2 linked regions of the Caenorhabditis elegans genome follow. The protein of the gene in region 1 purifies or fractionates together with the protein of each later gene. This does not show direct contact. Each region holds a gene or a part of one and is shown on either strand. Other genes may lie near its edges.

Region 1 (4,876 bases):
TTTCAAAATTTTGAATATCCGAAAAGTTTTTCAGAAACATTTTTGAGAAATTTCGTCCAGTTTCAATATATTTTAGTCAAGAACACACACCATCTACTTTTTTAAACATAGAAAATTCTAACTTTGAGAAATGGAAAATTTAGAGAAGTTGGTCAAATGTGTATTTCTAAATTATTTTTTTTAATGTTCGAATTTGACAAACAGGTCTTCATTTAGCAAACTACCAGCAGACTGTCAGTTAAAAAATGATATGAAAATTTTCTTAAAGCATTTTTCTATCGGCTTATGTTTTTTAAAGAACTAAATTTATCCAGAAGCCCCGTTACAAAAGCTTGAGAAAACAAAACAACATAAATCGATACACAAAATAGTCAGCCGAAAGACAAGAAAGTCATGACGCGTGGGACCGTATAGCATATTGATTCGAACCAAAAACTTGATAAAGAGTTGGAAAAGAAAGTGCCAAAGAGTGGAAGAGAAAGAGATTGCATTGTGTATGCATACATTTGGTGGTTCTACAATGCTCTTTGTTCACCTGCAACGACACATTCATGTGGAGGCACTACTAGATGGTTATGAAAAAATAAATGGCATTTTATTCAATAAATTGCTTTATAACAAAAAAAATGCTCATAACAATTGGAAACCGGATTATTAATTATCACCTATGACCCTGAAAAGAAATCACACAAATTGAGCTTTTTTACATATTATCCAATGTATGGAATCGTTTCATGTCGCTTTGCTTCGTTTTTGTTGATATTTCGAAAGAACTGCTTCCCGCGCTGGTTTTCTGAAAAATATAAGATTTTAAAAATTTATTTTTGTAACTAAAATTTCAATAAAACTGTACAATTTGAGCCTTTATCCGTCTTGCCCTCTTCTGTTCATCCTGAAAACCTTCCTTCAGTTGTTCTGTCACGAATAATACAATTTTCGTCCATCCTCTTTGAGTTGTCTGGAACAAATTATATTTGTCTGAATGCAGTTTCTATTAGGTTAACCTCTGTTCGATCTTTCTTTTCTCCCCATTCCAAAGTTCTTTCAATCATTGCAGTTGCAAACTGGTCAAGAAGATGTGCGTGGAATGGGCAGCCGTCTGAAACAGGAGGGAATTGGTAAAATATGATTGAAAATATTTCTGGGGGTTTTTTAATGCAGTGATTCATTTTTATATGCTTTTTCTAACCGTACAACTAATAAAGCTCGACCTAATAAAGCTGAAACTTCCCGAGTTGGGCAAATTTGTCCAACTTGCCGAGCTCAAAAAATGGCAAATTCGGGGAAATTGCCGCACACGATGCTCTTGTAAATCGATTCTGATCGACGTCAAAGTCAGTCCAATAGACGTCGAATTATGTCGAAGCTGGGTGTACCTGCGTCGTTTTAACTGACTTGGACATCGATCAGCATCGATTTATCAGAGCTGGTTCAAATCAAGAATTATCGGAAAATGGATCCGGAGTATCTGGAGTATAATTTTTTAGACATTCAATTAAATTTATTTATTTATAGATTTCTGTCAAATGTGATCAGATCAAAGCGCAGAATGTTTCAAAACTCACATTGATTTCTTGTTGGCCAAACATGTTTCTCACCAGCCTCTCGGAGTCCAGCTACTGTAGCTGACGGTGAATCAAGATTTGCAATTAGGTCATCCATAAGTACAGTAAATAGTTGAGCATGTTTCTTTAACCTTTCATGTCCTTCATTTTTAGTTCCAAACATTATCATTTGCCGAATTTCGGGATTTTTGAAAAACGAGTTTCGAAAGATACTGATCGCTGGTTCCAGGGCGCCTTGATTTCTTGCATGATTCCAAGTTTTCCTCACAAACAATATTTGAGGCTGCGTAAGGTGAAGAAATTGATGAATGCATGGGAACATTGTTGCTAAAATTTGTATCTCATGAATCATTCTAACTGACAAATATTTTTATCTTACGATTTGAGCTAGTCGATGGAGTTGTCTCCTTTGTCTCACTCCGAACACCTGGTCTGGTAAACTTCAAGGAGCTACTCTTTTGCATATTCGCATGATCTGGAGCATGCTCTGTCCCGCTGCTGACTGTACGTTTCACAGATATACTGGAAAAGAGATGTTTTGATAAAAAGGATAAATGTGATAAAACCCACTGGCTTCGAGGTGTGACTGCTTCAAGTAAATCCGAATTTGTTGAATCCACTGATCGCCGATTGCCTGGAGAGCCCAAATTCTGACGTGGACAGCCTGAAGATACTTTTTGTTGAATCTATGGATTTCAGATTTGGGATTTTGAGCATATTGAGGACTAGACATTTTTCCCCGGGTCTTCTGGCGCTCGCGCAGCGCCCGTGTGCATTTACCGTTTTTGTTATTTGTTTTGTGCCTTCCACATAAAAATTCGATCGTCTTTATTATATTTGGAGCAGTTGCTTTAAAAACTACATAGTTCAACCAAAATATATTTTCAAAGTGAGAAAACGGTCATTAGAAAAACAGATTATTCCGTATAAAAACTCTTACCTGTAGCCAAAGGTGATTGTTTTGAAGTCCGTGTCGAACAGAAAACCTCATCGTCTGAATTATTGTATTCATCAGTTAGACAAATTGGCGGAACGTCTTTTCCTGAAAATATATTTAATTTCAATAGTTTTTATTGGCAGTTTTACCTGGAAAATTTCGATATTTTCCTGGAGCGGATACTGGGCAGACTGCCGGAGGTGAGGATGATTGGGAATCAGAGAAAAATCTCTCTGAAAAAAGAAGTTTATTTTTCATAATTCTAGACTAACACTCACCATGAGAAGAAATCGCTGAAGCTGATCTTGGAATGACGTCACTGGTGACCCTACTTGAATTATGATGAGCTGACTTTGAATGAGATACCCGTGTGGTACCGTGTGTTGATTTAGTTGATTGGTTACCCATGTTTTGTGATTTTAAAGTCTCTGGAATGTTAACTTTGTGAAAATTTGAAAGAAAATAGAAAATATTTAAATCTCAAATTGACAATGATGGTGGCGAAAAAGTTGAAGGATGTTATTCTGAAGAGACGAGATACGCCAATGAACAGAGAGATAGAATGCGCGGTTGAGTGAGTGAGAATGGCTCATTTGATGACGTATTTTGACTAGGGTTAGAAGACTACAAAAGGACCATAAAGCGAAAGAAATAAAGAGTGAGAGAGAAAAAGAGATAAAGTCTCCGAATTGAAGAGTGAACGAGTAAAAATATGGAAAATTGGATAGACGTAGAGATATTTACAGAAAAAAAAGAAGAAGTAACCGAGTTGAAAGAACCGGAAAGTGAAGGGTTGCACAATGGATTGAGCAGCAGTGACTACTTTTATAGCTAAGGACTCTAGAATTCAAGAAAATAATGTTTCGGTAGTCACAATGTCTCGAAGCGATATTTCAAATTTGTCATAGCAAGCTCAACCAGCTCAACCCCCCTCATTATAATGTTTTCTCAAAACTTTTGAGAAATTTTTTATGTACACATGTGGTTTTTTTTGGATTTTCCTACAGTTTGGTTTTTTAGTAGAAATGCACTTAACGTACTATAACTTTTTCTCTGTTTCAGGTTTAGGAGTTTGAGCTTCAGCGAATTGTATAATCTAGTAGCTATATAAATTGAACTCCACGCTTCGTTTTAGCTATCACGTATACGTTTGAAAATGTGAGTTTTTGCCATATCTTACGCGCAAAGGTCTCACCACGCGGAAAACGAGTTACTGAAAGAAGTTTATCGGCATGATCTACAGTAAGTCGTTGACCGCGTGGCGAAACCTGGCGAGACCGAAAATGCTCATATTTAAACGTCTGAATAATATGATTTTTGGAAAAATGCATATATTATGGGGTTTCGCTAATAGATTTTGTGTTCTAGAACCGCTTGGGAAGTTTGAAAAACGCTAAACCCCTGTTGGTAAGTCTTTTGGCAAGGGGTTTTATAGCTCAAAACTTGTTATCCTTTTTATATTATTAGGACACCTGATCAGTACACTAAACCTTTTCAAGTAGGAATCGGTAACTTTCTTCGCTGTCAATGCACCGTTAAAGAAAAGAAAAATAATAAAACCTTCCTCGACTTGTGAGCTTAAACTTAATAGGATCTTGTGCAAAAACACTTCAGCTCGGATAGTAAAAAATGTCAAAAACAAATAGCATCACAAGATGGCACTTGTCAAAAAAGTATACCCCGAACAATATCACATGATGAACTTCGCAAATCGGAAATTTCCAATTGTAAGCGTCGTTTCCGAATAAAGACGACGAGACACTGCAAGCGAATTTCCGATTTTCCGTAGACTAGACAAGACGAGTCAGGGCAGATAAAAACCCGAAATCTTCAGACATTTGCAGAGTTTGAAAAGGAGGTGAAGCTACTAGTAAATTGGAATTAAACGGAGCAGAAACAGACAACGAAGACTACGTCGTCGTCACAACGATGGCGATGAAAGGAGATGCAGCAGGGAATGGAGAAAAAGAAGACGTAACACCACACTAAACAACGACACACACACACAAGACCGACGGGCCTATTTTATTTATCCTGAAAGACATAGGGCGGGCAAAAGAACGACTTTTTTGAAAGAGAAGACGAGAGGACCCTTTCGAGTAATTGAGCAGACAAGAGGAGCAGCAGGAGCCTGTCTGTTTTTCGGAAATTATCAAGCCTTGAAAGTGAGCGTAAGGAGAGAAGAAGATTAGGTGGGGGAAATGTGCAGGCCAACGAGTTAATTTCGCCTCTTTTTTCTGTGAGAGAAGGTTTTCTCTAGGGTGATATCAATATACATCTGAGCTCGATTGGTTGGTTTCTTTTATATTAGGGATGGCGGGGAAAGAAATCTTCTAGATCAAATAAAAACTAAATAATTTAAATATGAGTCACA
Region 2 (7,312 bases), on another chromosome or scaffold:
CCTCCAGTTCCAGCTATGCCGCAACCTGGAGCAGGTAGTTCAAATGTCGGACCAGACTACTCACCTGTAGGGCAAACTGCGCCAGTTGCTTCTCCAGGAGCCGGTGGATTGTTTGGTGGTGGATCAGCTAGTACTGGCTTCGATGATCCAGCTTTTGCAGCTGATGCTAAGCCTGAAAAATCAACGACCGATACTATCACAGAGACGTCGGTTACTGGATCAAGAAAATGAAGATTTAAGTGTTTCTCACTGTGATATATGGACTTTGTACATACTTTTTAGAAATAAAATATATTTCTGTGTATTAAAGATTCTTGTCTTGATTTTGTAACAAATACAAATATCATTTAGATTAATTAATAGTCTATACTTATAGTGCCAAAAAGATCAAATATTATAGTGAAATTAATCAAAATGTTGTTCACAATATTGCTGATTTCTTTTTCAGATCCCCTAAAATTTTCAACAGAAGTTTGACTGGAGATATAGCGGTGGACATCTCACGGGTCTACTTTTAGATGATTTTTTTTTAAACCTCTGTAGCTTTGGAACAAAAAAAACTTTTCATAGGAACAGTTCTAATGATAAAATACTTTGAATAAACATATTTTTAAAATAACTACATATTTTAAAACACTTCATTTATTTGCATCATGGCATATTTTCAACTACTAAGAAATAGGGGCTAAGACTTCAATCAACTTGTGCAAAGAATGGCGAGAAAAAAAATTGTGAGAACCTATGGAAGCTTAGTAAAAAGAGACAATTTAGACGAGCAAAGATTTAATATAGACCATGAGAACATTTACAATACCGAGTAAGTGTAACACACAAAAAAAAGTATTATGACAGACAGAAAAAAGTAGTCGCTATGGAGACATCAAAACTTTTCAGAACATGTGTGAGTCGGCGCTTTCTTCTTCAACAGATTCCAAAATTGCAGAACTTTCAACGGTCGAACGATGACGAGCGAGAACACGGAGAAGTGGACGCAGAGCCATCCACCTGAAATTTTTAAATTGAAATTTATCGCAGAATGTGTCCAGGAGCGTTCATTGTCATTAGAGCGCGCTTACTAACAACTAACAAATTCTCGAATACGCGGGAATCAGCTTCCACAGGAAATCAGTTTTTGAAAACATATTTTTTGGGTTCTACGGAAATTATTGTCAAATTTTTAATTTACATTATTGCTGACTATGAGGAACATTAAGCGAATGGCAAACATGTAAAATTGGGCTCTTACGGCCGAGAACGAAAGTTTTTTTTTTAAACAGTCATCACAGAAATTATAAACAATTCATATCCGGCGGTGATTAACTTCATGATTTTTGAAATTACACAGTTATAAAGATCTACGTGATTTTTTCAAATTTTAAATGTTGAGAACTAATCAAATCAATAAGTAATCAAGGGATTTCATGAATATGCATCTTCTCTACAAAATGATCAACCAAATACCGGCCTAAAATCGAAAAACTGACTGTTATGATACAGTTTCCAAAATTTCCTAAATTTACACACTTTCGATTTGTATATCGAAAATGTTTAACAAATCATAACAATAATATAAATCGGAAAAAAAATCTTCTAAAGGAGCCAAAAACTAGCCAAAGAAACTGATTTTTGATAGAAACAAATTACCGCGCGAGTTTGTAAGATGTCAGAAAGTGCGCTCTAACGCTAGAGGAAATCGTGCTCCACGAGTATTGCATATAGCCCTTAAACTTATGGTTTAGATATTTAACAAGAATACAGACATGCTGTATTCCATTATGTTATTTTTAGTCTAGAGATTGAATAGTTTTTTCTACAAACTACTTGTCCACTAACCATTGCTCTGATGGAAGACGATGCTCAAAATCGGTCTCCTTCTTGAGATCTTGCACCGGCGTGAACACCACCTTTCGTCCTTTGAGTCCAAGAAGCGTCGCAGTATGGGCTGACTTGGCGATCACCTTGTTATCGGCCGTCAAATTTTCCTTGAGCTGAATGAGCAAAAACTCCAAAGCACGAGCGGCCAGCTTGGTTCCCATATTTCTGTCGAACGGCGTTGGAGATCCACCCTGTTGAACATGTCCGAGAACATTGACTCTTGTGGTGAAGTTCTTCTTTCCTTCAGAATCAAAAAGATTCTGCACAAAATCTGTGGTGAGGTTCTTGTCGGCCCACTCATTTCTGACAACCAAGTAGCGTTTCGCTCCAACTTCCATCTTTGAGAGAATCACATCAACATCATCGGAGAGGTCTTGAACGGTGAATGGCTCTTCAAAAATGTACGCATTATCCGCACCGGAGCTCAACGCAGAAAGAGTGGCAAGGTAACCACAGTATCCTCCCATTGTTTCGACAATGAAAACTCTTCTCTTGGTACCAGTGGCAGATTGCTTGATTTTGTCGATCATCTGGCAAATCTCATTGATCGCGGTATCGGATCCGAGAGACACCATAGTTCCTAAAATTAGAAATGTATTGTTTAAAAACCTTATATAATGAAAAACAAACCTGGAACATTGTTCGAGATGGTGCATGGGATGACACACATTGGAATGCAAAACTCGGGATACTTTTCGCGATTTTCAGCAAGAATTATTGTGCTGTGATACGCTTCAAATCCTCCAACAAGCAATAACGCTTGAATATTGTGCTTCTTCAGTTGAGCAGCAAGTTGAGGCATAGTTTTCTCAGTTGGAAGACTTTTCTGTGTGCCAAGGAACGATCCTCCGTTCATTGCCCAGTTAGTAACATCGGACCACTTGAACTGTTTGAATGACCCATTGGCAAGTCCCTCAAAACTGTCTTCAATACCGTACACGGTACACTGATGGTAGAGAGCCATTCGAACATAAGAGCGGACGGCTGCATTCATTCCACCGGCTGGAGCGCCAACGTTGATTACAGCAACATTGAATTTGTGTCCTTCCGAAAGATTGTCCTTTTCGACGGTTCTCATCTTAGTCAGCAACTTGTACGTTTCAAGATTTCTCTGGAAACTGCGTCCACGAAGCATCACAGCCGTGGTCCAGTCCTTATCCGCCATTGCCTTCTGTACCATTTGAGTTCGTTCGACACACTTGAGAAGTGGCACACGGACCATAACATTTCCGTCAATTGAGATAACACAAGGTTCTGATTCCTGAAATAAAAAAAAATTATACTTCTTTTCTTTCAAGCAGGAATAACGGTTTGAACGGTGAAAGTGTAGACCCAAAATGTGCTCAAATAAACGAAAAAATTTGTAAATTTCGTTATGAAGCTTTGCAAAAAATGTTCAAACTTTTTTCTTTGACTGTACAAAATGTTAGAAAAAATAGTCTAAAATCTCTAATTCTGAGCTTTTTTCGGTGTCGAAGCTGCCTGAAATTGATTTTTTGAGCGCATTATTATCTTTTATTGCATTTACTAATTTTTGACATTTTTTGGTCACCTACCGGTTTTAAATATACCTTGACTAGGGCTTCCATGTGGCGCCGGTAAGGCGTCAGCGCCGGCTTCACGCCGCAAATCGCGCCACAGGTATAGTACGGCGCGGAACCCCCAAAGTGTCGACCGCTGCCATCTTTGCGAACTACGTTGCGCACACGTCAAATTTCTCTTTTCACGCCAAGCTGCGAAACAGCGGCAGACGGTGAAGGAGGTCCGGCGGGAGGCCCGTGGAGGCGCCAACGCCGCGCCTCTCTCACAAGGAAGCCCTAACCTTAACTATCAAAATAATATGAGATGAAGGAACAAAATTTACGACAAAGTTCGATAATCCAAAAAAGCCAACTTCGGGCCGCTGCGGCACTGAAAAAAACTACAATTAAGATTTTTGTTAATTTGAAAACATATTGGTTCATACGTTCAAACCATTAATGAAAAATTCACAGAAAATCCCAGAAACCTCAGTCATCTCCATGAGAGCAAAAACTGCTTCTGCTCCCATTCTACATCCAAGAAGTCGATCAAAAGCAGATGGAGCACCTCCGCGTTGAACATGTCCAAGAATTGTAACGCGTGTATCGTATTTCAGCTTCTCCTTGACAGCAGTCTTCACATCCTCGGCGGTGATAGCCTTTCCATCACGATCAATAGCTCCCTCGGCGACAATAATGATGTTAAGACGTTGACCCTCTGATCTCATTTGAGAAAGTTTGTCGCACAAGACGTCACGCCAATTTTCCGGTGCCGGCCATTCAGGAATGAAGCAGAAGTCGGCTTCGGAAGCTAGAGCAGCAACTAGAGCCAGATATCCACAATGGCGACCCATGACCTAGAGTAAAATAAGTATATGAATTATTTTCTTGATAAATTGAGATCACCTCAATAACAAAAGCCCTTTGATGACTTTGTGCAGTTGCGACTACAGCATCAATAGAACTGATAATTCTTTGAAGTGCCGAGTCGGTTCCAATCGTCATGTCGGTTCCACAAAAATCGTTGTCGATGGATCCGACAAGTCCGACAATTTGAATGTAAGGAATCTTTTTCGCAGCCGCCGCAGTGACTCGTTGATTTTTCACAAGTTCTTGCACAAGATCGGTCCACTCCAAACGGAAAGTGTTGGCTCCAGTGAGAGATCCATCTCCACCAATGCATACAAGACGACCAATTCCACGATTAATCAGGTTGGTGGCTGCCTGGAAATTTAATTTTAACTTTCAAAACTTTCAAAAATTTGTTTTATTGGGCTAATTATTTTCTCACCTTGAGACGCCCTTCACGAGTTCTGAATTCGGAAGATCTTGCGGAACCAATGATAGTTCCTCCTTGCTGAATAATATCGGAAACGGTGTTCCACGTGGCTTCCTTGATGAAATCTCCACCTTCAATCATTCCTTCGTATCCTTCGTAGATCAAATACACTTTACATCCACAGTATATAGCCATTCTTGTGATACTTCGAACAGCGCTGTTCATACCTGGAAAATAAAGTTTCAAACGTATTCTTACAAGGAAAAGTTTGAATTTTATTAAAAGTGAAATGAATTTTATATGGAGACTCCACACAAAATTTTCATGGCAGGTCAAAATTTCAAATTTTGCCCTAATTCATTCGTACCTTGAGAGTCTCCTCCGGACGTGTAAATCGCGAGAGTACGTCCCTTGAAAATATCCGACGCAATCTCAGTTCCTTCTCTTCCAGCAGTTGGGACGATTGAGTCGAAGCGGCGCAAAGCTCGCTGACGGATAAAGTCGAGCTCTTCTGGCGTGATTGTTGATGCGTCCGCGTCCATTTCGAATTATGCAAAATTCTGTAATTTATGACAATAGTATTTAACACGAAGGATGAGAAAAATGGGATGAGAAGAATGAAAAAATTTTGAGAAGAAAAGGATAAATCTGAGAACTGCAAGAGAAAAATGTTGACAAGCAAAAACTGATTAATCGATGCGGACAATGAATGCGCGTAATACAGTGTGGCAGGGACCATTGTGGTTAGAAAGTGCGCGACGCAGATACAACAAGGAAAACACAGAAACAAACAACTGCGCGCGGTCATATTACCCTGTGGAAGGTCAACTTTTAATTATTATTTTTATAGGAGGAGCATTGAGTGGTTCTGGACATTTTAAATTCAATGAATTTTGTAATGAAACTTCCAAATTTTTTTCAAAATTTTTTATGTCGGTTTGAAATTTTAAAAATTTAAAAATTCAAAAAAAAACCTATTTCAGCTAAAATCTCTAATTTTGTCCATTTTTTCGTGTTGCATCGGTCCGAAGAAATTAACTTTTTTTCAAATTATTATATTTAATGGCATAGCTTGACTTCATTTCGTTAATTAGGATACATCGTATTTTTTCTAATGTAGTATACATTGCACTCCATTACTCAACTTTGACAGCTTAAATCTCAGTTGGCGTTTGTTTTATTGAAAACTGATCAACTGAAAAAACACTTATTTTTATTTTTTTCTATATATTTGCAGTTGACAGTTTATTGATATTTTTTAAACGAACATAGATATATCCTTTTGGAGTAAAGTAATTGGATGATATACTATTAGAGGAAATACGTAATTTACAGCTGATAGGTAACCTAAAATAAAAAAAAATAGGTCACCTATCGGCTTTAACTGTACTATAATCAAAAAAAAAACAAGAGATGAACGACCAAATATGCAACAGAGGATTGAAAAATCAAAAAAAAAGTATTGCCAAAATTGAAGATTTTAACTAAAATTAGGCCATGTTTTTTCGAAATTTTGAACCGCCATAAAAGTTTATTGAATTAGTTTAATCCATTTGAGTAGATATTAAGTTTAAACGTTCAAAATAATACCGAAACTTCAACAAACAAACGTTTTATTTAGTTCCTTTGGTATAAGAAAACAATGAATGATGCCAAGTGAGAAGTGATAGTGATTGAAATGGAGAGAGAAAAGATGCAGAGTAAATAATGAGTGTGACGAACGCATGGGAAAAAAGAAAAGTAGAAAAAAGCCAAAAATAAAAGGTTTCGACTTTGAAATATGCTATGGCAAGTACACATGATGCAATACACGAAAGAAGCCCCTAGAGGGGGGATGCACTTTTGATCTTGACGCAGGGGACCCAGACAACTGAATGTATTTATACAACAGAAACAAAACATGAAAACCAAAATTGTGAATTACATTTTCCTATCAAATCGACTGGATTGAATGAATGATTGGTGTGTTTTCTTCTTCTTCACTTTTTCAGCCTTCAGCAAGGGAAAAAAACTAAGCAGCCAGAAGCAAAGTGCGAGAGAATATGCGTAACACGGAGAAAGAGATCGAGAGAAGACAACGCAAAAAAAACGAAAGCGCGGCCCTTCTGCCTTGCCCCTCGTTTCTCCAACTGCTCAATGTTTTCGACGTGCCAAAACGCATTTTGGATTGAGAAGGAAGAAAACGTAAGGGCCGGGGAGAGAGCACAAAGATTTGATTTCTTATCCGTCATGTCATTTGTGTCTAGTTATCAAAAATAAATCAATTTAAAACATGAATAGAGCTAGTGGAAAAATTTAAAAAAAAAACACGCCTACGGTACCACAATGGACAAATATCATAAAAGAAAGTTTCAAAAAAATTTTCTAATTTTTTTTCCAATTTTCAAAAAATCAAAAAATCAATTGAAACTTTAAAAAATTACCATAACATTTGGTCACTGTAGCGTGTGTTAAAGAAATTTCCTCACTGACTCTACTCCTTAAAATTTGAAAAAAGAGACTACGCAGGGAACTAATACAATGTTGATTGTTAATGCGAGTAAACAGTAAGTTGAAAAAGTAAACACTGCCCTCAGGTTTTTGGGATTCATAACCAACAGTGCGAAACGGCCAAGTGGCAAGTTGTTGTTCAAAACTT

The links.
Region 2: the proteins of glb-6 (region 1) and pfk-1.1 fractionate together in Caenorhabditis elegans (co-fractionation; one large-scale study listed by BioGRID). This does not show direct contact.

What each region holds. Positions count from the first base shown.
Region 1 is NC_003283.11:5,567,604-5,572,479, forward strand, and holds glb-6 (Globin-like protein 6), read right to left. Parts: upstream 2,931-4,876; 5' UTR 2,911-2,930; coding exon 2,781-2,910; intron 2,736-2,780; coding exon 2,652-2,735; intron 2,608-2,651; coding exon 2,506-2,607; intron 2,230-2,505; coding exon 2,136-2,229; intron 2,088-2,135; coding exon 1,945-2,087; intron 1,893-1,944; coding exon 1,566-1,892; intron 1,100-1,565; coding exon 1,005-1,099; intron 959-1,004; coding exon 854-958; intron 794-853; coding exon 704-793; 3' UTR 582-703; downstream 1-581. UniProt on the Caenorhabditis elegans protein: May play a role as physiological sensor for oxygen via redox signaling and/or electron transport.
Region 2 is NC_003284.9:2,938,794-2,946,105, reverse strand, and holds pfk-1.1 (ATP-dependent 6-phosphofructokinase 1), read right to left. Parts: upstream 5,235-7,312; 5' UTR 5,217-5,234; coding exon 5,042-5,216; intron 4,902-5,041; coding exon 4,687-4,901; intron 4,620-4,686; coding exon 4,302-4,619; intron 4,253-4,301; coding exon 3,884-4,252; intron 3,137-3,883; coding exon 2,506-3,136; intron 2,456-2,505; coding exon 1,834-2,455; exon of another isoform or gene 1,006-1,833; coding exon 891-1,005; 3' UTR 628-890; downstream 1-627. Other genes in the region: Y41G9A.10 (Prion-like-(Q/N-rich)-domain-bearing protein), read left to right, coding at 1-231. UniProt on the Caenorhabditis elegans protein: Catalyzes the phosphorylation of D-fructose 6-phosphate to fructose 1,6-bisphosphate by ATP, the first committing step of glycolysis.